Linked DNA regions of Arabidopsis thaliana. The protein of the gene in region 1 purifies or fractionates together with the protein of each later gene. This does not show direct contact. Each region holds a gene or a part of one and is shown in the gene's direction. Other genes may lie near its edges. The genes, in order: EIF4A-2, ALPHA-SNAP1 and ALPHA-SNAP2.

Region 1 (10,410 bases):
ATTTAGATGTTAATACAGAGGTTTATCCATTGGCTGTTGGTGATAAGTTCACACTTGCGTTGGCTCCTACGCTGAATCTCGATGGAACCCCTGATACCGGTTATTTTACTCCGGTAATAAACTCTACTGCTTTTTATTTAGTTGTTTTGTTTTGAGTATATACACAGTCTCTTGTTTGCTTGGCCAAATTTCCATGAATGGTAACTTTGAACCCGTATCTGGATTTTGTTAGGATATAACTGTTAATGCTGCTAAATGGTTGATATTATAACTCTGTTGGCTGATTCGAGAAGCCTGTCTATCTAGGAATAAGAGGAGACATGGAATTTTAACAAGCTTTAGTTCTTGAATCTTCAAGATCTAAATTTGAAAACCAAGAATGTGTATGCATATCTAAACATTAATCTTATCTAGTTTTCATCTCGATACATTACAGGGAGCAAAGAAAACACTTGCCGATAAGTATGAATACATAATGCACGGGAAGCTTTACAAGATCTCTGAGCGTGACGGCAAAACTCCAAAAGCGTAAGAATCCCATATAACCCCCCCATATCAAAATAATTCAATCCAATTCAACTCACATATCAAACCATCATGTTTTATTTTATTTTCTTTAAATTATGTGTTTCCAGAGAGCTATATGTTTCGTTTGGCGGCCTCCTGATGTTGCTTAAGGGAGATCCAGCTCACATTTCTCACTTCGAACTCGACCAGAGGCTCTTCCTACTCATGAGGAAGCTGTGAGGTGCCATTTTTTCGGATAAAAACTGAATTAATAGAGAGCTTGATCTAATGTTTAACTTTTACTACTTCAACTCTTGCAATTTTCATGAAGCAACTCTTGTGCAAAAGCAAGTTTTTCCGTTCCGTTTTAAATCCCATTCCACAAATTGACTGCTCCGGTCCGGTGAAATGTACTATTTGTAGCTCTAAGCTATTGATGAAGATAAGCAATTGAGACCAAGAACATAACAAAAAACACAGACAAAGACACAGTTTTTTTTTTGGTCAAGGACACAGTTTTGTTTCTTCTCTAACCAATTTTCACTACACTCTTATCTTCTAACAACAATATGAAGCAATAAAGCTCGAAAAATAGATTCTGAGCCAAAAATAGAGTGTTTTCTCTAATCCATGCTTGTGTTTTCTCTAGTCCATGTTTGTGTTCTTGCTTCTTTGAGACTGGGAGAATATATCTTGGACGGTCGAGATTAGTCTTAAAAATTCTGAACAGATCAAGATTTAATTTTAAATCTGTATAGTGGGCCATGTTTAGGCCCAATAAAAGCTTTTGATGAGGCCTTCTAAATGGTATATATTTCGACTTGAAGAGAAAGAAAAAACAACTAGAAAATCGGAAGAATAAATGGACGGTGGAAGAAGGAAGCCCTTCTCGCCGGACTAGCCAAGCACGGTTCCGGAAAATGGACAAGTATTTTAGACGATCCAGAGTTCGCGGCTCAACTTCTAGATCGCACAAACATTAACCTCAAGGTAATCGAAAATTCCCAAAATCCCATTCGTCTTCCATGGAAATCGATTTTTGAGATTTATTATGTGGAATTAGGTCGAAATTTGGGTATTAATGTTGTATTGTTTATTCTTATTGCCCAAATTTCAAGGATAAATGGCGTAATATAAAGAAATCAAGGACACAATCACTCGAATCTACCTCCATTTTCACTTCACCTTCAGAGACTTCTCGTTCTGTTGTTAGCTATGAGGCTTCTCCTAGTAGTTCATCTGATATGAGCAATGATGCTAGGTTTGTTATATTTAGAGATTTTTTAGAATTGGTATGTTCTAAGTTCTAACAGGTTCTTCTTTACCTTGTTGCAAGGTATGATGCGATGGTTTTTGAGGCTGTATCAACAATTAATGATGAAAATGGTTCCAATCTCAAAGAGATTCTCAGATTTATCGAGGTGAAGAGGATATATACATTGAAGTCCTTTGTGTTTTTCATGGTTTATATTTGACATTCATTAGTCAGTTTATCTCAATTTCTTGTCATAGTTATTTCCTTGGGTTTCATTATACTCTCTTCTCTGAATACAGAATGCTAAGTTTTCACCTGAAATGAGTCGATAGATTGTGTAGTCTGAAGTGAGTCAATAGTAACTGATCACAATGGACAGAACATAAGGATTTTTAGGATAGTTATCTGACAATTAGTTGGTAACTTCTGAGGTTGTAGATATATGTAGTGAGTATTCTAACACAACCATGATGACTGCAAACACTCTGATACCATTGGAATAGCATTACTAACTGCTGTTGGAACCTCTTTGTTGCGCCGCCCAGGTTACTGAAATTCATACCCAGGAAACTTGTGGTTTCATTTTTCCTCCTTATAACATTTGACTCCAAGCATGAATCCTTTTTATCACCAATGCTGCTGCATTACATTCTCTTATTACTGTTTCTCTATTGTATCCTGGTTCAAGCTTTGAAAAATATCATTTGGATAAACTCTTATATTTACGTTCAACCTTAACATCAAGAATATGAATTACATTGAATCCAGTTGGAAGTTAATCTTTGTGGTTTATCAATTGCAGGGACAACATGAGGTTCCACAAAACTTTAAGAAACTGTTGAGTTATAGCCTGGGAATCCTTGTTTCTCAAGACAAACTCAAAAAGGTAACTAGTGTTGTTTTTCTTAATGCGCGGTTTGTCACAAGCCTATCTACTTTTCTCCATACCCCCAATATCTATATGACAAGATGTAGTAATAATAAACCTGAGTTATATTATATGATAAACTCAAAAATTACTTTATAAATGCAGGTACGAAATCGTTACAAAATCTCAGTTACGAAAGCAATTAAGCCAACACTCACCCTGCGTCCAAAAGATTCCACGAAGCCACCAGAGTTACCAAGTACTTCTGTGATATTAACATCAAAAGAAACACATGAGATAGACCCAGCAGCAAATAGAGAAGCAGAAGGAATGAATGAGTTGGCAAAAGAAAACAACGTAATCTTACTCCTTTTAATTACATGTTGCTCATCCAATTTACAGTATCATAGCAACAAAAGATATGATCCCTTGTGGTTGATCAATTTCAAGACTGGTACGAGGAGCAACAAGACTTTAGGATGTTTTTGAGTGAGTGCCTGATAATTCTCGTTTCTCAAGGCAAACTGGAAAAGGTATATTTTTCTTAATTGCTCAGCTATTTATTGATGCATCATCATCTATCTATAACAAGATCATTTGTAATTCTTATGATTGATTAAAATCAGAAAATCTCCCAAATTGCAGGTATTGGATCGCTACAAGATATCAGAATTAGAAAACAAAGTGTTGGAAGTAGCACCAGAAGTTGTAGCAATGAAACTAGCAGAGTCAGATAACAAAAGGTTGATAGCAGCAGAGGCAGTCGAAGAAGAAGAACGAATGCACAAGTTAGTAGAAGAAAGCCACACGATGCTTCAATTATGCTTAGAGATCCACCAACAATGTAATCTCAACAAAACTCACATGGTACATCAATCCATCATCATCACCATGATCATCACTGTCTTTTGCTTTGTTTCTTGCAGGTGCTCTTGGCCAAGAGGTTGTTCTACTGTAAAAGAAAACCAAGTATCTATCTAGTTTGCTTCAATCTATATTTTACTTAACTAACCACTTGAGTTTTGTTTTTGTAGTTCTTAAACACAGGTTTATATGGTTGTAATGGTGAACTAATGTTCACTGTTTTGTTCATAAAAAGATAGCTTTTTTTTTTTTTGCTAAAAAACAATGACGTGTCTATGGAGTCTTGTGAATGCTTTGCTACGTCATAAAGCATCAAAAGGTGCTGGAAAGAATAAGCTTTTCCAAAAGAAAATTTGGTCTTTTTTTCTAATTAAAAAGTTTGGTATTGGCGTATGGAAGTACAACACTACTACTCATATTTCCACTTGAAAACAACATTTTGTGATTGTGATTTGATATTTTCTGGTGTGTGTTAGTATGCAATTGCGATTCATTATTCATAGTCTCTTTTGACATTGGTGTAAAATAACTTGATTGGTAACAATATTTTCCCTACTAGTTTAGGAAAAGTATAAAGAGGTGAGAAAAATCTCAAATCGAAAAGGAAGAGGAAAGTGGGGGTAAAGTTGGAAATATAAAAATTTTGGAAAAGTAGAACAATTAGAAAGAGGAAAACCCTAAAAAAAAAAAGAGGGGGACTATATAACTGGCTAACACGTATTGGGTTGAGTCTCTCTCTACCTCAATTTATATTATTTGCTTCAATCTTCTCTTTATCGCTCCACCAGATCCAAGTTCGCGAGATTTCAAGCTCTCTAACAAAGTTCTTCACTTTTACTCTCAAAGCTTTCATCTTTCATTCAACTACTTAAGCTCCAAGGTTCGGAAATATTTTTTTTACTTTTCTCTGCGATTTGTTCCTTTTCTTATGAACGATTGGATCTCGAGTCTGATTTACTCTCTTTGCGATGGAATTTGTTCTGGGTCGTTTTCAAAATTGACGCTTGTTAATCTATAATTCGTCATCGGATTCAATTAGTCCGTGAAACCCTTCAATTCGTTTATCTCAAATCGATTTGGGTTAGGTTTTGATTTCGACACTTATGTTAAAATCATCCAAAGCTTTTATCTTCGATTTTGGACAACTTTGTGTATATTATATGCTTTCATGGAGAGATAGATGTTTTTGAATGGTATCTGTTATGATAATTGGATGAACCATATTTCCTATATCTCTCCTGACATCGAATAATTCAGATATTAATGCTTGTGTTCCTCTCTATATGGAACTTCAAGTTTGGCTATTCTGTTACATTCTTACTTTTGCACAACTCTCTCTGGCTATAAGATTTAAGAATCATCTCTAGCTATCTGGGTTCTAAACTATTGTTTCTTTTGTGTATTGTTGTAGTATGGCAGGATCCGCACCGGAAGGAACACAATTTGATACGCGTCAGTTTGACCAGAGGCTGAATGAAGTGTAAGTCCTAAGATCTTTAGTTTCATTACTCGTTTTTGATGAGATTTTTTTTGTATTTGCTAATCTTATTGTTTGTTTGGGTGCAGTCTCGATGGACAGGATGAGTTCTTCACCTCATATGATGAGGTCCATGAGAGCTTTGATGCCATGGGTTTGCAAGAGAATCTTCTTAGGGGTATCTATGCTTACGGTAAGTGAAGAAGGTTTAAAGAAACAACCTTTTGTTTGTTATGTTGGGATTCCTATTAACTTTATCGTATGTGCTCTTTCCTGTGATTGATTGGTTGATTTTTTTCTAGGTTTCGAAAAGCCTTCTGCTATTCAGCAAAGAGGAATTGTACCCTTTTGCAAGGGTCTTGATGTGATCCAGCAGGCACAGTCTGGTACTGGAAAAACCGCCACTTTCTGCTCTGGTGTCTTGCAGCAGCTTGACTATGCCCTTCTCCAGTGCCAGGCTCTCGTTTTGGCTCCCACCAGAGAGCTTGCTCAGCAGATTGAGAAGGTCATGCGTGCCCTTGGTGACTACCAAGGTGTCAAGGTTCATGCCTGTGTTGGTGGAACCAGTGTCCGTGAGGATCAGCGCATTCTCCAGGCTGGTGTTCATGTTGTCGTTGGAACTCCCGGTCGTGTTTTTGACATGCTTAGAAGACAATCTCTCCGCCCTGACTGCATCAAGATGTTTGTCCTTGATGAAGCTGATGAAATGCTCTCCCGTGGTTTCAAGGATCAGGTTTGTTATCTTCTTCAAAGTTTGAATCTACCCTCTGTGGTTATCTCTGATATTGACTTGGTTTTGTGTTGTTTTCTGGTGAATTTGCAGATCTATGACATATTCCAGCTTCTCCCACCAAAGATTCAGGTTGGAGTGTTCTCTGCGACAATGCCTCCGGAAGCTTTGGAGATCACAAGAAAATTCATGAGCAAACCAGTGAGAATCTTGGTGAAACGTGATGAGCTCACACTTGAAGGTATCAAGCAATTCTACGTGAACGTGGAGAAAGAAGACTGGAAGCTTGAGACTCTCTGCGATCTCTACGAGACTCTAGCCATCACTCAGAGTGTCATCTTTGTCAACACTCGTCGCAAGGTCGACTGGCTCACAGACAAAATGAGAAGCCGTGACCACACAGTCTCAGCAACTCATGGAGACATGGACCAAAACACCAGAGACATCATCATGAGAGAGTTCAGGTCTGGCTCGTCTCGTGTTCTAATCACAACCGATCTCTTGGCTCGTGGTATCGATGTGCAGCAAGTCTCTCTAGTCATAAACTTTGACCTCCCAACTCAGCCAGAGAATTACCTTCACCGTATCGGAAGAAGTGGAAGGTTCGGGAGAAAGGGTGTGGCGATTAACTTTGTGACTCTTGATGATCAGAGAATGCTGTTTGATATTCAGAAATTCTACAATGTGGTTGTTGAGGAGCTTCCCTCAAACGTGGCTGATTTGCTGTGAAGAAGAAGAAGAAGAAGAAGAAGAAAGGTTGCTTGTTTCGCAAATTTCTTATTTGATTTTTGACCCGTCTCTCTCTCTCTGAATCATCGATACATCTTTTTCATTCTCTAGTATTCTTCATCAACTCTATCGAACATATATATGTCTCTTCTGACCATATTTCTTTTTTATCAAATGCAATATTTATTTCTTCTCTTGTATGATCCAAAAATCTTTCGTAATTACAAGTCTATTCACAGCAATTCTATACCTGTTTTTACTGTTTCGGATGTCACTTACATAGAAATCTTTCACTGGGGTCATGTGCGATTATATAATTCCTAACATTAAGAAGTGGTCAAGAGCTTTAGTTCATATCTTTGAAAACAGTTTCTTTTTCAATTTCGGAAGTAAGAGTACTTAAGCTTTTCCATGCTAATCTTTTTTTGTGAATCCATTTGTAAAAAGGAAAAAATGTCAACTATTTGTCAAACTTGTCTAATCAGCAACATATCTTTTTTCTTCTTTTCATTAGTACTAGTGTACATACACACACACAGACAAACACAAAATACAACATTCCCCTCTTTCTTCTACCATTGTCTAATTGTATAAACCATAAGATTAGTAAGAAAATAAAATAAGAGTCTCTCTTTCTTTCATCTAACTTGAATCCAACTTTCTCCATCTGATGATTTCCCGAAGAAAAAATCACAGAAATATATATGAAGTGGTTAAACAAAACATACTTGGTCTTAATCATCAAGTCTATTGTGAGTTTGAAGAAGGTGTATCATTAGACGATGTTCCACTCATAACACTTAACACCGAATGCTTCCTTTGAAGCCTGCCTCTTAGCTGCCTGATCTTAGCATCAACTCGAGCCGTGAACCCAATCTTTGTCTTCTCTCTCGCCTTTGACTTCTCTCGTTTCCACATTCGCTCATCCTCTACATCGATCCTGAAATGTTTGATCTCTTGTATAATGTGATGGTCAAGAGGGTTCACTGATCTTTGGTATGAAATGTGGAACAAGTAAGGTAGCGTTGTGGCGGCAATGACCAGAAGTGAAGTAAGCCAGAAGATGGGTGCAGGGGCAAGAATCTCGACGAGCATGTGAAAGATGTTACCAGAGAGTTTTACTGGTAACATACCGTAAAGAGCGAGGAAGACGTACCAAGCTCCTATGCTTCCCCAAATCATTACGTGTTGGATCCAAGTGAAGTGACTCATGGTTAGAGCTATTTGAACATTTACTGCCCATATGATGCATGTGAACATTGCGGTTCCCATGGCATTCATATCTGCGGTTTGGCCATCTGAGCGGAATGATTGAACATGGAAGATTCCAAGGTTGAGTGTAAAGATGACTATGGATGCATAAACTCCATTCCCCATCCATCCAAGGATTCTGTACCAGTCGAAGAACAGGTTCTTGGGGCCTTGTTGATACAATGCAGGGAACTAGATAAAGAAAACAGGCCAAGAAATGAATCAAGATCCAAAAAGAAGGTTTTGTTATATATGTGAAAGATGATGGAGAGGACTTTATATAACCTGTAAGCAGACATCAGAAGGAACATCTTGTTCAAAAACTCCGAGGGAAATGACCGGGAGAGAAGTGAGAACAACGTTGAAGAGTAGTAAGTAGGAGTCGTTGTATATTGATTGACCAGAAAATCCGGTAAAGCATTCGAAGTAGAAGAGAGTCAGACCAAAGGTTATGTTCTTGTAGAAGAAATAACAAATCTGTGAAACCAACAATGACGAATCAAGATCAGGTATATATATAGATATTTGTTTTCTGGTGAGTTATATCAATGCATATATTACCATCTGGGCTATTCGTTTGTAGCACCAATGTCCGTGGACAACAAGTAGTCTCTCAAGAAACCGAAACTGGGCTATGGAGAAGTCACTTGCCATTACTGCCTGCAAAGAAACAGAACCAACTACTCTCAGAAAAACCAACAAAACTTAACCATGTCTCATTGTGCTGAAGAAAAGTTTTTAAGCAACCTGCATGCCTTCAACGCCACTGATGCCAACACCAATATCAGCTTCTTGAATCATTCCAACATCATTTGCACCATCACCAATTGCCAAAGTTGTTTTTCCTGTTCCTTCTTTGGCCAGCCTTGTTACCTACAAAAACCAAGATAAACAAAATATGGCATATGTAATATTCTGAAACCAAGAAAGATGTTTTGAGAATTGTGGAACTATTCTTACAAGTGCTTTCTGTTTGGGAGAGACACGACAGCATATCACTGATGCACAGTCAACTGCAAGGGCAAGAAACTGATACTTGACATCATCCTTCAAAGCATAGGTAAGTGTTTTTCCATCAATGATCAAAGCAAATGCTGCATGTGGATCCTTTTCAATTTTAATCATCTGTGAAGCATTTGTGATCTGCATCAAAATGCTCTCCTTTGCAGCCTGACCATTAACAAGTTTTGTTATCACATGCAAGTTTCTACTGAAACAGCTGTAAAAGTTGGTTTTTAATTATAGCATCGACAAAATACATACAGCTTCAGAGTTTTGTGATGATTCCTCCACATTTGTAAGTGAAATGGATATCTGCTTCATACCCTGTCGTAGTAAACTGCAGGCATATCTGCATTGGGATCAACCAAAGAACTCAATTAGTCCACTTAGTTTTAGAAATGTATCTAGTCAGAAACAGTTTAGGAGTCTGTGGTATTATCAGTAACAATGAAGAACAAACCCTATGTTTATTGCTGTCTCCATCTTATCTCCTGTCAAAACCCATATTTTGAGACCAGCTTGGGCAAGGTTATCTATGCATTGAGGCACCTAAAGTGAGATACAAACAGTAAGTTGAAAATGATTTTGGAAAGGCTGTTTCTCAGTTATAATCATATTTTGAACTATGCTACATACCCCTTTTTGCAGTTTGTCCTCCACAGCAGTAGCTCCAACAAGGATCAATTCCTTCTCCATCATATCTGAAACCTTCTCGAGCATTTCATCTCTATCAGCTCCAACTGAAGTTTTGGCTTTGTGAAATTCACTGTTCCATGCTGCATACTCGGTCTCATCTAGCTTTCTGTAACCAAGTGCCAATGTGCGTAAACCCGCTTCACCATATACATTCAAGTGCTTTGAAGTAGCTCCAAGATACTCTTTCCCACTCTTTGATAAACGTTCAAATATAATGCTGCAGGCAAAAAGCATTAAATTGTGGTTAGAAGAAGTGAGAATTAAGCAACTGGGAATGGCTTGAAGTCATGCAATCAAACCTGTCAGCGCCTTTACATAGTAGAAGAATCTGCCCTTCTTCATCTCTGACAATGGCAGACATTCTTTTTCTTTTGCTAGTGAAGTCTAACAGATTCAAGATTTTGTATTCTCTGTAAAATAACCTCCACATGAATAGACATCTATATGCAAAGAAAGATCAATGAAATATTTTTGAAAGATTTAAAGCTCACCTATCAACTGGTTGACCTGAAGATGAAAACCGTTCAGCAATAAAAACACTAGATTGAGTTCTCTTAGTAAATTCAAAACCAAACTCCCTAGAAGCAACAAGGAAAGCAACTTCATCAGGAGACTCAGCTTCATAAGTACACATTCCAGTATCTTCATCCACCTCAGGAATAGCTGTATGACAAACCGCCAGAATACGGAAAAACATCAAAATGTCATCTGAATTTGGCTCATTTAACCAGTTTTCATTCATCAAACGGTTATCTTCAAAACTAAACCCCTTAACACCAGTGTTCTGCTTCTGATCCTTTTCGTCGCTAGCAGTGACTACTGTCTCCAATTCAAAATCTGATGACGTCTTGCTAGCCAATTTTGCATACCGTTGTGTCCTGCCTTTATTCATAGAAAGGTTTGCAACTTCTTCACCTTTCTCCTCAAGATCCATTGCCATCTGCTTAGCAGCAGCTAGTTCCACTTCACTAGCACGGACACCGTAAGAAGTCCCCGCAATAGAGCATTTCAGAAAGTCCATCTGGTTACAT
Region 2 (4,623 bases), on another chromosome or scaffold:
ATGACTCAGCTTGAACATTTCCATTTTCTGAAGCAAGATAGCCCGAGATAGTCAGACCACGTGCTTGGTTTGAGTTTTATGTACATAACAATTGGCTCTGTATATAGATTTGGTGAAACCGCATACGATTTTATTCTTCCAAGCTTTACTTGATTGAAGGAAAATGTATTCTTGATTGGAACAATGTATATACAAAAAGGATTTTTTTTTGGTTATAACACTAATTTCTACAGAGAATCAAACTGCAATTCGATTACGTTTATTAAAATTTCAAATCAGAATGTTGATTATAGGACAGATATAACAAATGCAAGATGGTTCAGCTTACATGGTCATTTCAAGGTTACAGAACCGGATTTCTCCATTTAATTTAAAGACTTATACATTTAATTATTAATATTTAGTAACTTTAATTTTATAGAGACAATATAGAAAATTATGCAATGGAGATGCTTTAAAAGTATTAGGTGCCAGAGTTAAAAAAAAAAAAAAAGTATTAGGTGCCTTGTCGTCACCAGATTCCATTGGATTTTACGACTTTTTGTTAAACTCACAAGTCGCTAGCTTGTGGTTTAAGCAATCTTTTTTTTTTTATATAAAATTTACATATATTAAAAATTTTATGTGGTTTTTTTTTACATAATAGTTAATGATGCATTAAATTTAAGCAATTTTAATGATGCATTGATTTTATTAATTCCCCTTGCTCAAAATACTTTCTATGGTGTGATTAACACAAATTATATTATTATTCTTTTAGAAATTTTTGCTTGTAAATGCTAGTTTTGATTGCATTATTATTCTTTTTTCTTTTACGTCATTTACGAGAATTTTCAATTTTGTTTTATCAAAAATTTCTAATTGAATATTTGATGTTGCACATAAACTGACCGTGATACATGTGCTTGTTCTGTATATAGATTTGTTGAAATAACACTAGAGTATGCTACCAATGTTACGGATCACGGTCTCCAAGCAATTGGTAAAGGATGCAAAGAATTAAAACATCTTGAAATACTAAACTGTCCTGTTAGTAAAACAGGTCTTATAGAAGCAGGCGAGAGCTCTTCTTCCATTAGATATCTTTACGCATCAGGTAATAAAGATGGAAAGGAAGGAGGAGTGCAATCTTTTGCACAAAATAATGATAATATATTTTCTTTTCATTTGTTGTTAAGATTCTCCGAGATCTTCTCGAGATCTTTTTTGGAAATACGATAAGATAGGCTGAATAATTCTTATTCTGAAATTTTTTGGTAATGCGAAACCTTTGTTTTATATGTTCAAGAAGAAAAGAAATATTAAGAATTTTTTTTTTGTTCAGTCACACAACTTTAGAACAAAATTATGTTAATAATTTTCTTCATTTTAAATCCAAAACTTCAAAAGTTAGAAAACATATGAAGTAAAATAAAATAAAATGTGCTAAGCTATAAATTGATTTTAGTTTACATAACAAATTCTAATTGAAACTTATTTTTTTATATCGTCAAAAAACAACAACTAAATTCTGAAAAAATATCAAAAACTCCAATTTGGAAAGTATAAATTACAAACTAACTTGTTTTATTTTATGTTTTAATATAATAGTTTAGTTGGTTTAATAATAGTAAGTGTTATTTTATTATTTTTTAAAAGGGAAGGGTTTAAAAACCCACCAAAAAATCCCTTAAATGGATGCTTAAAAATCTCTGGTCGCGGGCTTAGCCCCAGTAGACTAGTTAGATCACTGTGTGGTCTGGGCATTGAGTTATCAAAGAAAAAAAGGGAAGGGTTTAAAAACCCACCAAAAAAGTTGAGGGTTTTGTACATGTTTTTTGTAAAAGGTGAGGGTTTTTTTTACCCACTTTTCATAGAGCTGAGGAACTTGATAAGATATCAAACAACAAGAGTCTCCAACTCAAGCAGAGACTTCAATCTCTCACAACAACACTGCAGCTGTTTCAGGCCCAAAAGGAGACACGAAGCCCATCTCTCATTCATCGGAACTCTGCAATACTCAAAACAGAGAACCATCACGCGAGCCGCTTCAGCTACCATCGCTCGCCGCCAACTCTTGTTGTTGTTTGATATCACTTTCTCTTCTTCAAGCAGTTGCTACTACTTTCAGAAGAAAGCTGAGAAGAAGCTTAACAGACGGAGAAGATTCGACACTAAGTACGAGGATGCTGCTGATCTGCTCGAGAAAGCACGTGATTCCTATAAGCTTGCCAAATCATGTAATTTCCATAAATAATAATCAGCCGGCCTTGATTTTTGTTTCATCTGATTGATTTGTGATGATGATGAGGAAGAAAAGGTGAAACTTGAGACTTTTGATTGATCTTTGGTTTAGCAATTGTGGTGATCCTTCCATGGTGTTGTGAGAAGTTGATTTTAGGCCTCTTTGATATGTGGGAATTATAAATTGGATACTCAACATTTAGATTACTCGATAATGATGGTTTTTGGCCTTATAGTAAAGTCATTGATAAGTATCTTCTTGCTTATGTGTTTGATTTGTGATTCTTCAGGGGATCAAGCTGGAATAGCTTATCTAAAACTTGCCGATTGTCACTTAAAGGCAAATTCTTTGGCAAACACATATATGATAATGGACGAATGTATGGATCATGTAGCAACAGCTTTTTAGATTTTAATTGACATATATGTACTACAGGACTGATTATCAACTCTTGTGTGTTTTCCTTTCGCTATGCATGTTTATCGCGTCCAAATATAACCATGACCTTATTATATGCAGAGGCTGCATCTTGTCTAGAGAGAGCGGCGAATATATTTTGTGAGATAGATAGTAAGGCTCAACATGGCTGCAAGATATTACAATGTACTACATGTCTCTTTTGAGTATGAATTAGATACTGTTACTCTTTTAGTACGGATAGTGAGAAGATAGTTTTATTGAGGGGGAGGCACTTCTTCAGCATCTTCTCCATGGTTCGTGTTGTTTATGCATGTTGGATCCTGTCGGATTTGTTTCTTTTTTTCTACAGTATATATAGTAAGCTTGGTACTGACTTTCTGTATTTGTACTAATGTGTACATTGTCATTTACTTTTGACAGGAAATTGCTGAGTATTATGAATCTGATGAGATGTTCGAGCAAGCTATTGCTTACTATGAAACGGCAGCTGAATTCTTTCAAATAGAAGAAGTGACCACCTCTGCAAACCAGTGCAATCTAAAGGTTGCACAATATGCTTCCCAGCTAGAGCAGTAAGATTTTCGGCACCTGACCTTTTTTTGGCTTTCTCATCCTCTGGTATTGACGTACTTACAGTACTGAGATGGGACCATGTTAAAATCGAATTTTCAAACCACAAATTTGACATTGTTTGGAATAATGTTGTTGTTCTCTACACATGAGCACATGGATTATAGCCCCTTCTCTACTTTGGGGCGGATTGATTGATTGATAATAGGCTTGCTGTTGTATCTTTGATAGGTATGAGAAGGCAATCCAGATTTATGAAGACACAGGCACGCCATTCACTCAACAATAAGTTGCTTAAGTATGGAGTTAAAGGCCATCTTCTCACTGCTGGCATGTGCCACTTATGCAAAGCTGATGTTGTTTCCATCACTAATGCACTGGAGAAATATCAGGTTCTTCTTCTTCCACAGCAAACAGCCTTAACATCAGCATCCTGGCGTGGTCCTTTGAGTAACTATGACATGTGTTCTAACTTGTACTTTCTTGCAGGATCTGGATCCGACTTTTTCAGGAACACGGGAATGCAAGTTCTTAGCGGTAAAGTTTAAACTCTGGTGTTGTAAGAAATTGGGGAGTAGCTTACATAAAGTATGTTAAGTGTTGTACATTTATTCTCATGAACAGGACCTTGCTTCTGCTATCGATGAAGAAGACATTGCAAAGTTCACAGACGTTTCCAAGGAAATTGATAGCGTGAGTCCACTGGTATGGGCAGTAAACCACATGCAACTATTTGGATGTAAACTCTGTCTGGTTCTTGATCATGACAACAATGTTGTTGAGGGTAAAAGAGAAGTTCAAGGCCAGGGAGCTGGAGGAGGATGCAAGCTTTACTTGATTGAAGGAAAATGTATTCTTGATTGGAACAATGTATATACAAAAAGGATTTATAACTACACTAATTTCTAGAGAAAATCAAACTGCAATTCGATAACGTTTATTGAAATTTCAAATCAGAATGTGGATTATATGCCAGATATAAATGCAAGATGGTTCAGCTTACATGGCCATTGCAATAACCTTATTTCTAGAATACATAAGCTGTTTTCTCCTACGGCCATAAAGAGTCTATAGTTTTGAAGACAGGGCAGTCTTGTGGTCGAGAGCAATCATCACTTTTCCAATTGCCTTCCTGTCTTTGAGGTCCCCGAATGCAAGATTGGCCTGTAATCAAAACGGTAAGTGTTTAATTACATGTTTTGAGTTTTGATGTCATGAAGATGAGTTAATGTTTTCACCTGGGAGAGGCTATAGGTATGAGAGATGTGAATAGTGATCAATCCTCGGGAAAGCCATGACAATAACTCTTTGATGGAATCTTCAAGGACATTGGGCTGATGGATCCTGTAGCTACCCCAGTAAAGACCATGAACCGTCCAGTTCTGCACCAATTGGTTACTACAACTTAT
Region 3 (11,176 bases), on another chromosome or scaffold:
AATGGAGCACTCTCTATCGTCAAATCGACTCCAAATTCCTTGGAAGATTCAGACATTTCAACATACAAGTCAAACATACTCGAGAAGCTAGTTGAGAAAAACCTCGCTGTCTCTTCCAACTGAACTACCTTTTTACGGACAAGGATAGGTCAAGAATCATAAGAGCATGTCCATTGCAGGGACCTTGCAAGTTTTTTAAGAAAATCCTTATGAATAATAGCAAAAAATTAAATCAGAATGGTGTAATAAACCAAGGTGCGAACCTTGTTTAAGGTATTTTTGGGTGTATTAGGTGCGCTGACGTGGCTGTATATTATTGGATGACAACTTTTCCCGTGTTTTTTTTTCTTTCCCATTCCCAAACTATTTTTTTCTTTCTCTCCTCTCTCCTCTCCTGTTTTCTCCGAATTTCGACTTCGACGGATCAAATTCTTCATCGTCTCTTTTTTTATCATGTCTCTCTTCTCATACGATCCACAAGATTCGTGATCGAAGAGGTGTCAGAAAATCCACCGGAAGAGCTACTCTTACCGGCTTTGCTGAGGTCAACGATGTGGCGCTGTTTTTCGGTGGATTGGTTAGAATGTTGATGCTCATAGGATCCTGCTTGTGGGTTCGTCTGCTGGTAAGGTTCTTATATGTGATTGAAGTTTTGATTTTTTTGCTCCTTTTGATGCTTAATTGTTTATCTGGGTTTAGGTTGAATTTGATTGCAAGTTAAAGTCTGGTGCTTTTGATCTGGTAATTGCTTCTTACAAGTTGATCTGTAACAATTGATTTCGAATTCAGTATATGGATTTGTATACAGATTCTGGGCTTTGCTTTATGTTCAAATTTGTGTTTGATCTTTTGGTTTTTAAGATAAAAATGTGACTCTTTTGGTGCTTATTCACTTGTATGTCATGTTATGGTCTATGTTCTCTAAGTGGTTTTAGCTTAGATAACTTGTATGTCTGTTTTCTTTACTTTAAGTTCAATATGACTTGTATCACTTCGGCTTTAATGATATTGTTGTTTATTCTTGTGTTAACGGACTAAACGAGTGTTCAGCTTAATGTGTTCAGTTTTAATAAAACTTGTCTTAATGTGATATGTTGTCTTAATCTTTAGTTTAAGTATTCTATGTTTTCTTATTTGTGAATGTTTAGTCTTCAGTGTTAGTGTGTTGTGTTTCAATATGACTTGTGTTCGTAAGAAGTTCCATATGACTTGTCTTCAGTTTTAGTTCCAATGTGACTTGTGTTCAGTTTAAGTTCCATATGACTTGTCTTCAGTTTTAGTTCGAATAAAGCTTGTGTTTAGTTTAAGTAGCAAACAAGCTTGTGTTCAGTTTAAGTTCCATATGGTTGTCTTAATGTTAATGTTCTTGTATGTCTCTTCTTAATGTTGGTTTCTTGTTTTGTTACAGACTTAAATAATGCTTCCACCTTCTCTAAATCACTCCAGTGCCGACATTACTTGTATAAAAGAGACCACATGTTTTAAGTCACCACAAGTTTGTACTTTGGTTTGAATGCTTGTACACCACAAAATAATATTCGGAAAACACTAGTTCTTATTGTGTATTCTATGACATCACTTGTATGCTAAACAATAATTTTGTTTTCATTGTTCTAAATTTTGAAGTCTCTGTATATGCATACAAAAACACTCTTCTTTTATCCACTGTTATTGTTTTAAGTATCCACTCTTCTTGTTCTCTACAACAAACCCAATAAACATTCTTCTTTCACCAAATAAACACTCTTCTTTAACCTAATACACACTCTTCCTTTTACCCAATTAACACTCTTTTTCACAAACTAAGAAAAATTTCTCACTTAAGGATTCCACTTAAGGATTCCACCATTGGACACTAAAAATTATAAAGATTCAACCAAAAACTCTAAACTCTCATTTACTTAAAATTTACTATTAAAAAATTGTAAGGAGTCCTTAATTAGGACTCCCCAATGGGGATGCTCTAAGTCTTGGTATCTTCATAATCTTAAGCTTTCGAAGGTTTGTATCATCTTTATGTTCCTCTTTTTTTCCAACTTAGAACCCTTCAATTTTTGTTCCAAAAGAAAGGAATAGTCTGATACAGATGTACTTTGTTCATTCAAATAATGGTCTACAAAAAGTAATTTAAAGAATACAAGTTTTGAAGAGTTGTTCATTTCCTCTTTCTCTGTTTCAAGCAGCAACAAAAATTGCACTTTGTATAGCTATTACATTGCATTTTCTGACAAACCTATTTCACAAAGATATAAATATGAATGCTACGGCAAGCTAATAATTTTACAGATTTCTTTGAAGTGATCATGGAAGGGACTGTTTGCAAAACTTTTTTCAACGACTAGTTTGCTGCGAGGCTGTATAAATTTGTCGAGATAGCAATAATGCTAGTGGCAACAGCAAGAACAAGCATTATTGCAGCTACGATCTTCTCTCTTGAGGTTGATACACCATGGATATTCCTGCCATTTCAGAATCAGAAAGCAGTTGGTAAGATTTTTATAGGAAGTTTGAAGCAACTGATAAAGTACATAGTAAAGGAAACAAAGCATATCTACCTTAGAACAATGGCGGCTGGAAATATGAATGCTATGGAGACTGTGATGGTTGATCCCATGAACTGAAAGAAGTACCAAATGTCTGGTACAGCGATTGCAGACAAGAAACAGCAAATCAGTAGAGCCAGAGTGAGTCCGATGAATCTTTTTGTGTCTTTTTCCAAGGACGGCTTCTTGGGGTACAAGAGTTCGTCGAGATTTGCTCTCAATGAGAAGTTCAGGAGAGGAAAGACCAGCATGAGGTGAAGCACGTAGCTGAGTCTGACAATGTCGTTGAGAAGAGAACCAATGGAAGAACCAGAGCTCTGGTCAAAGTTCACTAGAATATCCGACATAGTTGCATCTCCAAAGAGAAGGTAACCAAAGAGTCCAGTTGCGAAGTAGATAGCAGCACACAAGATGACAGAGATCTTAGTTGCTGGGATCACTTGTAATGGATCTTTGAGCTCGAATCCAATTGGATGAACTGCACATTTTGAATCACAACACCAAACTCAGAAACATGAAAAAACAGAGAAAACAGAGAAACAGTTACCAATATGGTGAAAGAGATGGGTTCTTACCATTGAAGTGAAACGTGAAGGCTGTAACTATAACAGGGGAAGCTGTGAAGAGTTGCCAGAACGATCCTCCATTGCTCAACTCCGGAAACAGTCTTGGATTCTTCGTTTGTCCATTCACCAGCGCGGAAATCGCCAGCACCGAGCTTATGACAACAAATAGAACCGCAAGAAGAAACGATACAGCGGAACTAATTGCCAGTCTTTCTACATAACCATTAACAAAAAGAAAATCATCAACAATCTCATAGATATCCATAATTTTGAGAACACAAGATTATAGAGAGAAACTTACCGACTCGTCTACGCAGGACCAATGGAAGCAAGACAAAGCCGTAGACAAATAACAAAGCGAAGATTCTCGTGTTCCACCAGTAAGAACCAAACCATTCTTGCAAAACTCCAATATGTTCAGGACCACCATTTTCATTACCAGAAAGCACATCTCCTGAGAGAGTAAACACATACAAATCCAAACTCAGCCAATCTGTTCTTAAGCTCAAATAGTAGCTGAGACCTCTACACTTAGATGATTAGATCAAATTACTTTACCTATAATAATCGAAAATATAATCATACAACCAAAAGTAGCAACCATCGTAGCAATCTGTACAGCGATGGATCCTGTTTTACCAAACGACTCTTTCATAACTCCGGCGTAAGTAGTTGATTCTCCGGCGAGAGTTGATTTCATCAGAAATCCAACGGAAATTGTGGAAAGCCAAGCTATGATCGTGATAATCAAAAACGCTGGAACTATTCCAAGAACTTTAAACGCCGCCGGCATCGACATTATTCCGGCTCCGATTATACTCGTTGACACGTTGAAAACGATGCCGGAGGTTGATGATCCATGGTTCTCAGACGAAGAAGGTTCTTGCTTCGGCAAGAGATGAGTTTTGATCTGTGGTGTCATTTTTCTAACCGCCGGAGAAACGTAAGAATTTGCCGGCGGGAAGAAGCTTTCCTTTTTTGTAGTTGTTATGAGGAATCGGCTTCATATAGCCACACGGTTAATAGCGAAAAGTACATAAATACCCTTTGAAGATTGGGGATATATGCCTTGACCGTTTGGGGCAAAATCGAGAAAATGATATTTGACCATAGGTAAACCTGACAGGCTGGGCAAATCATGTCAGTGAGATCACCAAATGATCTTTCGTCACGTACTTAAAAACATCACGAAAATAATAATTTTGTTCAAGAGAGGAAATTACAGCTAAAATATGATGAACAATCATAATCATATTATAGACAGAAGTGAATTATTAACAAAAAAACCCCAAAGAATTATACAAAAAAATCCAAAATAAAATGGGTCCGTCCAACACTAATGAATGTGTGCACTTGGATTTCTTCACGAAGAATGTATCTAGACGAAAAAGTGGCCAAATGTGTATCATCGCTTCTCATCTCATATAAGTTGTCCAAAAAAGAAAAAAACTCCTAAATAATTTAAAATTTTCGTGGATATAATAAAATCCAATATATAATCATATCATTGGCGGCCTCAAAGATGGCTCACGTGTAATAAACTAACTTTAGAGCAGACGGTTCGAGACTTTTCATCAAGAAAACGAGAGGGCAGCGAATGCGGAATGTCGAATGAATAATTGAAAACGTGATAAACGAAACAATATAAGAATAATTAAACACTGTCTTCTAAAGTTATTTTTATTTAATCATTTCATATGAATCATATTGAAGTTACTCAGTTAACATTATAGAATGTGACTGATAGCAACATTAATATTGCCGCAGAAATCCCTCGTTGCAAAGTTACAGTTTATTTTAGATCATCTCTGTGTGTAAAGGAGAAGCTTCAGTCAACAACAACAGAGCTTGGGTCAAACTCTCTGCTCAGCTCAGAGTCTCCCAAACAGAATGCTATGGGCCAAGACACTAAGCCCAATACCATTCAACATGTCGAGAAGCCCAACAACAGAAGATTACCTCTGCAACTCACAAAAGACAAAAAAATTACCGATTACCCATGAAATGATTTGCTAAAAAATTGAACATTTCATAGATTTGTAACGGTTGTTATTTAGCCATTGTTGTTATTCATGTGTTTGATATTAAAACCGATATTGTTGTTACTCATGTGTTTGATATTAAAACATACTAGGTTTTTACCAGTTTGTGCATTTTGGAACATAGGTTTGTTTAGTGGAAACTGTCAGCAATATTTGTCGTGATTTGAGAACTATAATAATGGCTAATGAAGAATGTAGAAGGACGAGCAGATATAACAGGAAATCGTTTTACTTGATAATTCATGTAAGCTTTTCTTCAATCCCAACTGATAAACCTGATCCCATATTTTCTAAGCTTGGTTAAAGCGACCCAATAACAAAGTACGGAAAAACTTTTGATTGGGCTAACTTGGGCTTTTCAAAACAAAGCCCATATTTTAAATAGACAAATTTGGCCCACTTTAGTCGGTTGAAAAATCTTTTCCCCTATCGAAGCGTGTCTCTGATTTTTCGCTCTCGATCGATTCTCGTCTCTCTCTCTTTCATCGCAGCGAATAATCCAAATCGAAAGCAATTTCTCTCGACGAAGAAAAGAGAAGCAATCGGAGTCTGTGGAGGTAAAGAAGTACACGATCAAATTTCAAGTCAGAGTTTCGGGGAAAAAAAAGGAATGGGGGATCATCTGGTGAGAGCTGAGGAATTCGAGAAGAAAGCTGAGAAAAAGCTCAATGGATGGGGAATATTCGGATCTAAGTACGAGGATGCTGCTGATCTGCTCGAAAAAGCAGCTAATTCCTATAAGCTCGCCAAATCATGTAATTTCCATAAATAAAATTTCTTTGCTTTTGATTATTGTTTCATCGGATTGGTGTCGTGTTTTTTTTTATTGTTGTTCTTTGTGATGATGAGGAAGAAAAAAAAGGTGAAATTTGAAACGTTTGATCTTAGGTTTATCAGTTGCGGTGATTTGTCTATGGTCATGTGAGAAGTAGAATTAGTATCTGGGTTTATATTAGGTCTATTTTGATCTGTAAGAAATTTATGGTTGATAATTTCATACGAAAACATTTTAAATCGGAGATTCATCATTCTGATTCCTTGATATTGGTTTCTGGCCTTCTAGCAAGTCATTGATAAGTGGCACAATTATAGTACCTAATTTGGGTTCTATTTGGCTGAGTTTAATAGGTTTCATGTTCTTTTCTGATATTTGTTTAATTCTCCAACGCTATCTTCTTACTTATGTGTTGCATTTGTGATTGTTCAGGGGATCAAGCTGGAAAAGCTTATCTAAAACTTGCCGACTGTCACTTAAAGGTTAATTCTTTGGCAACACATATATATGATACTGGACTAATGTGTGGATTGTTTGATAACATTGATTTGCATGATTGCATCTGCAGTCAGATAGCAAACATGATGCTGCTAACGCCTATGCTGAGGCTGCTAAATGCTACAAGAAAGTTGACACTAATGGTATGTATAAAGCTACTTTTGTAATTGTCATCTCTGTAATGCAAGAGTGATTATGAATTCTTATGTGTTTTCATGCGTCCTAATATTATATGCAGAGGCTGCGTCTTGCCTAGAGCGAGCGGTGAATATATTTTGTGAGATAGGAAGGCTCAACATGGCTGCAAGATATTACAAGGTACCACTTGTCTCTTTTGAGCATGAATTAGATATTATTCTTTTAGTACGGATACTGAGAAGATAGTTTTATTGGGGCACTTCTTCTGTATTTCCTCCATGGTTCCTGTTTCTTTATGCATGTTCAGTCGGATTCAGATTGTCTTTTTCCTTTTCTAAACTAAAGTAAGCATGGTGCTGACTTGCTGTATTTGGACTAATTTGTACATTAATGGTTTTTTACTTTTGACAGGAAATTGCTGAGTATTATGAATCTGATCAGAAGTTCGAGCAGGCTATTGCTTACTTTGAAAAGGCAGCTGAATTCTTTCAGAATGAAGAAGTGACCACTTCTGCAAACCAGTGCAATCTAAAGGTTGCGCAATATGCCGCCCAGCTGGAGCAGTAAGATTTTCGGCACATTACCTTTCTTTTTGCTTTCTCATCCCTTAGCATTGAAGTGCTTATAGTACTCAGATGGAACCCTGTTAAAATCGAATTGTCAATCCACAAACTTGTCATTGTATGGAATTGTGATGTTCTCTATGCAGTATGCATGAGCACAGCAATTATAGCCTTTTCTCTACTTTGGGACCGATTGATTGATAATAGGCTTGTTGTTGTATCTTTGGTAGGTATGAGAAGGCAATCAAGATTTATGAAGACATAGCACGCCATTCACTCAACAATAACTTGCTCAAGTATGGAGTTAAGGGCCATCTTCTCACTGCTGGCATGTGCCACTTATGCAAAGCCGATGTTGTTTCCATCACTAACGCTCTGGAGAAGTATCAGGTTCTTCTTCTTCCACAACAAACACCCGTAACATAAACATTCTGGTGTGGTCCTTTGAGCAACTATGACATGTTTTCTAACTTCTACTTTCTTGCAGGATCTGGATCCAACTTTTACTGGAACACGGGAATGCAAGTTCTTAGCGGTAAAGTTTAAACTTCCGTTTTTTCAAGAAGTTGTGGAGCAGCTTACATAAAGTATGTTAAGTTTTGTACATTTATTCATATGAACAGGACCTTGCTTCTGCTATCGATGAAGAAGACATCGCAAAGTTCACAGATGTTGTCAAGGAGTTTGATAGCATGACTCCACTGGTATGGGCTGTAAACCATATACAGCTATTTGAATAAAATCTCTCTTTAACTCTACCTGGTTCTTGATCATGGAATTGGTGTTAATGCAGGATTCATGGAAGACAACCATGTTGTTGAGGGTGAAGGAGAAGCTCAAGGCCAAGGAGCTAGAGGAGGATGACCTTACATAGACATATTTATCCAGAGCGTTGCTTTTTATTCATTCCCGGGTTGTATTGTCACTATGTCCGTTACTTCATGTCCGACTCTTCTTTGATTTTATTGTGTCTGGTTTTGAGTTTTAAAGTTTCTTAAGAGGTTTGGTCAAATTGGGTTTGTTTGGTATCGACGTCTACAATTGTTCTCTGCGTCTCGTCACTTCATTTATGGGAACTACTCAAGTCTGGAGTTTTTTTTATATTGGTTAAACATCTGTGGAGAGTCTTCTTCGTTCAGCGATTATTTGATGCATCGAGAGGATCATGTCTCGATTATTTGTTTGCTTTTACGTCTACATCTATCTAATAAACGTGTGCTTTTTCTTCCTGTTAACGACAATTTGTAGTGTTTTGATTCATGTTTTCTTGCTCTATATATCTTTGATTGCACGCTTTTATGAAAAATAAACATTTGGGCCAGCAAGATTGCACATTACATGGAAAAAATATTCTTACATACATATATCTTGAGAAATGAACACATATACACCAATAAATTGTGAAAGGAACCACTAAACAAAGAGATTGAGGACAGACAATATACTAACACCAATTCTCGTTGTCATCGACCATGACAAGCAAAGCAATGATAAAAGCATAATCAACCTCTGGATTTACTCTCACCTTAAAGTTATATTTCCCTTTGCAGAAACTTCCCCATGTAAACTTATGTGTTACCTGCAATATAAGGATTTCAATCCTTCACCAATGTATAAAAATTGCAAATTTCTTAATAAGTATGGGTTTTTAACTTTTACCCCTACCCCGGCGATGAGAGCATCCGCTTTGAAAACTTTGAATGAGATATTGGAGTATCCTCCTGAAGCATGAAAATCACAAGTGTTTGTCTTCTTGACATTGTTGTTCTCCGGCAAGAAAACATCCACGGATGTTTTCAGTGAAACCGCTTGAGATTGTTGTACCGTGAAGAGCAAGTCTTCTCTCTCTTTGCTCTCTCCTCCATGCACTTCCCACTTGTTCTTCAACGCAAGTCCCTAAACAATCATACACCATTTCAAGAAAGAGTCATTTTTATATGTATGTTTGTTGAAAAATTAAAATGTTTTGTAACCTTTTGACGCATTGAGAGGATTGTGAAACCGGCTGGATCACGCATAACTCTTTTACGGTTAAACCCCCAAGCTTGTCCATCAATTTGTAGGAGCAGATTCCCACTTGGATCAAACACTTCATAATAATCTTTAGAAAAATTCTGAACTTTTCTCTTCACCAAAAGATCCATTGGGTATGGATTACAGAATTGATCGCTCACTACGCTTATCGCGGGATCTCCTACTTGCCATTCTGTTTTTTTATTCTTCGGCATTTTCGAATAAAGTTCAAGAAGAAGACGAAGAAGAAGATTGCAAAAGACTATGAAAGGCTCTTTATTTAGAGCCCTTGATAATCCTCCTGATGATGAAGAATTATCAAAAACACCTCTTCACATTTTCTTAAAACAATATATCAACTAAAAACAAATTTGAAATTGTAAGATTGGTTTTTACTTTTTCAGACTTTTATTCTCAACCAAAGATTGTTAAACCCCAAAAATAAACTATGTACCCTTATATTTAGAAACGAAACAACTAAGCTAACTTCTGTCTCAAGGTTCAAAGAGAAATTCTCTATTGCCAAAAAAATACTTGTCAATACATAAAACATATACATACTTCTCTTACAATTACAACAACAGATCACAAGTTCTTTAATTCACAATAATCATATAATCGAATAGTATTGTATTGTTGTTTTTATTGGTTTTGTTATCATTAATTGCCTCCACGTTTGTTCTTTCTCCACTCCCATGGCTTCTCTGGATTAGAAGATGCCCACAAGCCAACGCGCTTTTGCCTAGCCTCATTTTCCCACTGAATTCAAAACACCAAAACAAACCGTTAAACATCAGAAGGAATAATCAAAGAAAATTGTAAATGAAAAGCACAAAGGTTTATAAAAGCTTGCCTTTGCGAGCTCTGCACGCTTGTCATAGGCTACATAATGCCAAGCAAGACCTTTCTTTAGCATTACTTCCTGTACAAATTTTCCATTGCAGTATATATCTCCTACACATCTTCCATAACGATCCTCTGTATATACTAACACCTTCAAGCATTTCCCTTCAACCATCTTGAGTAGCTCATCATGCGCCTCTTTTCCATACGGCATTTTGCTCTCCGGTGAATCTATTCCGCTGATTCATTTTCATTCCAAATTTTTAACTCTACATATAGCTTTTGATTGAATATGAGGTTCTCTCTAGAGTGGAAGAGTGTTTTACCTTAGTCTAATTCTGAACTTTTTAGCAAGCACTTCCTCATTCTGAAAACTTATCATCCTAAGTATAACATGAAAAAAAGGTTAGGAAAAATTATGAATTTCGTAGATCAATTTTGATTTGACTTTATAATCAACTTGTGAAGTATATCAATAAAACACAAACCTGTAACCAGAAGCTATGATCGTCTTGTGAAGTGCATCTGCTTCAGTATAATTCTTCTTCTCACGCGCTTTGGCTCTTTTAACCGCTGCAAGACTCACGTCCTTAGGAAGAGAAGATGACACAAGCGGGTCTTTGCTACTAACATACACAGTAACAGTATCACCATCTGCCACAGATTTTGTATCCACCTTATTTCATTTAGAAAATTTCTTGATCAGCAGCAACAACATTACCATCATATCCCAAACCTTTTAAAGATTCGTAAGTTTTCTAACCGGAAGCGTGTTAAGCTCAAACCGAACTCCTTTAGGTAAAGACACAGGAGCTTCCGTAGGGACCTCAACGAGATTGTGAGGTGAAGGTAGTCCATAGAAAGACAAAAGTCCCTGTCAATGCCATTAACAAGTCAACTATATCAATAATGCATCCTCCAAAACTCCTTGACATTTTTGCAACTTGAAAGAACCATCATGATTAGTTAATACCTCAACATCTGCTTTTTGATGGTTCTTTAGAGCCGCGATAACAAGCCTGGAGGCTTCCTCAGGAGTTTTAGGCCGAGGCTTAGCTTGCTTCCATGCCTCAAGTATTTTTCTATACCTTCAAATTAAAACATGTTTTGGAAGAAAAAGACATTAAAATATGAACATTTTCAAATCTTTATAGACAACATTAGCATGATCTGTACCAGTTTGCTTGAGCCTTTT

Evidence for each region.
Region 2: the proteins of EIF4A-2 (region 1) and ALPHA-SNAP1 fractionate together in Arabidopsis thaliana (co-fractionation; one large-scale study listed by BioGRID). This does not show direct contact.
Region 3: the proteins of EIF4A-2 (region 1) and ALPHA-SNAP2 fractionate together in Arabidopsis thaliana (co-fractionation; one large-scale study listed by BioGRID). This does not show direct contact.

The regions. Positions count from the first base shown.
Region 1 is NC_003070.9:20,255,589-20,265,998, forward strand, and holds EIF4A-2 (eif4a-2), read left to right. Parts: upstream 1-3,958; 5' UTR 3,959-4,374; intron 4,375-4,722; exon of another isoform or gene 4,723-4,810; intron 4,811-4,905; 5' UTR 4,906-4,906; coding exon 4,907-4,974; intron 4,975-5,060; coding exon 5,061-5,164; intron 5,165-5,273; coding exon 5,274-5,704; intron 5,705-5,794; coding exon 5,795-6,430; 3' UTR 6,431-6,678; downstream 6,679-10,410. Other genes in the region: NRPB8A (RNA polymerase Rpb8), read left to right, coding at 1-113, 437-528, 636-747; AT1G54260 (winged-helix DNA-binding transcription factor family protein), read left to right, coding at 1,752-1,768, 1,844-1,928, 2,565-2,648, 2,796-2,889, 3,081-3,163, 3,276-3,474, 3,557-3,588; AT1G54280 (ATPase E1-E2 type family protein / haloacid dehalogenase-like hydrolase family protein), read right to left, coding at 7,178-7,873, 7,967-8,158, 8,243-8,341, 8,429-8,554, 8,642-8,851, 8,945-9,032, 9,144-9,232, 9,320-9,596 and 2 more. UniProt on the Arabidopsis thaliana protein: ATP-dependent RNA helicase which is a subunit of the eIF4F complex involved in cap recognition and is required for mRNA binding to ribosome.
Region 2 is NC_003074.8:20,928,747-20,933,369, forward strand, and holds ALPHA-SNAP1 (alpha-soluble NSF attachment protein 1), read left to right. Parts: upstream 1-1,810; coding exon 1,811-2,219; intron 2,220-2,513; coding exon 2,514-2,614; intron 2,615-3,064; coding exon 3,065-3,216; intron 3,217-3,237; exon of another isoform or gene 3,238-3,455; coding exon 3,456-3,606; intron 3,607-3,703; coding exon 3,704-3,751; intron 3,752-3,838; coding exon 3,839-4,123; downstream 4,124-4,623. Other genes in the region: ATG18D (autophagy 18 D-like protein), read left to right, coding at 1-51; AT3G56460 (GroES-like zinc-binding alcohol dehydrogenase family protein), read right to left, coding at 4,283-4,378, 4,453-4,596.
Region 3 is NC_003074.8:20,842,942-20,854,117, reverse strand, and holds ALPHA-SNAP2 (alpha-soluble NSF attachment protein 2), read left to right. Parts: upstream 1-5,422; 5' UTR 5,423-5,761; coding exon 5,762-5,906; intron 5,907-6,358; coding exon 6,359-6,408; intron 6,409-6,494; coding exon 6,495-6,567; intron 6,568-6,662; coding exon 6,663-6,742; intron 6,743-6,973; coding exon 6,974-7,125; intron 7,126-7,355; coding exon 7,356-7,515; intron 7,516-7,612; coding exon 7,613-7,660; intron 7,661-7,748; coding exon 7,749-7,829; intron 7,830-7,918; coding exon 7,919-7,999; 3' UTR 8,000-8,444; downstream 8,445-11,176. Other genes in the region: AT3G56210 (ARM repeat superfamily protein), read left to right, coding at 1-123; AT3G56200 (Transmembrane amino acid transporter family protein), read right to left, coding at 2,339-2,459, 2,556-3,021, 3,119-3,322, 3,411-3,563, 3,668-4,031; AT3G56180 (LURP-one-like protein (DUF567)), read right to left, coding at 8,570-8,704, 8,791-9,021, 9,099-9,353; CAN (Ca-2+ dependent nuclease), read right to left, coding at 9,799-9,897, 9,992-10,220, 10,308-10,364, 10,470-10,657, 10,745-10,855, 10,955-11,069, 11,158-11,176.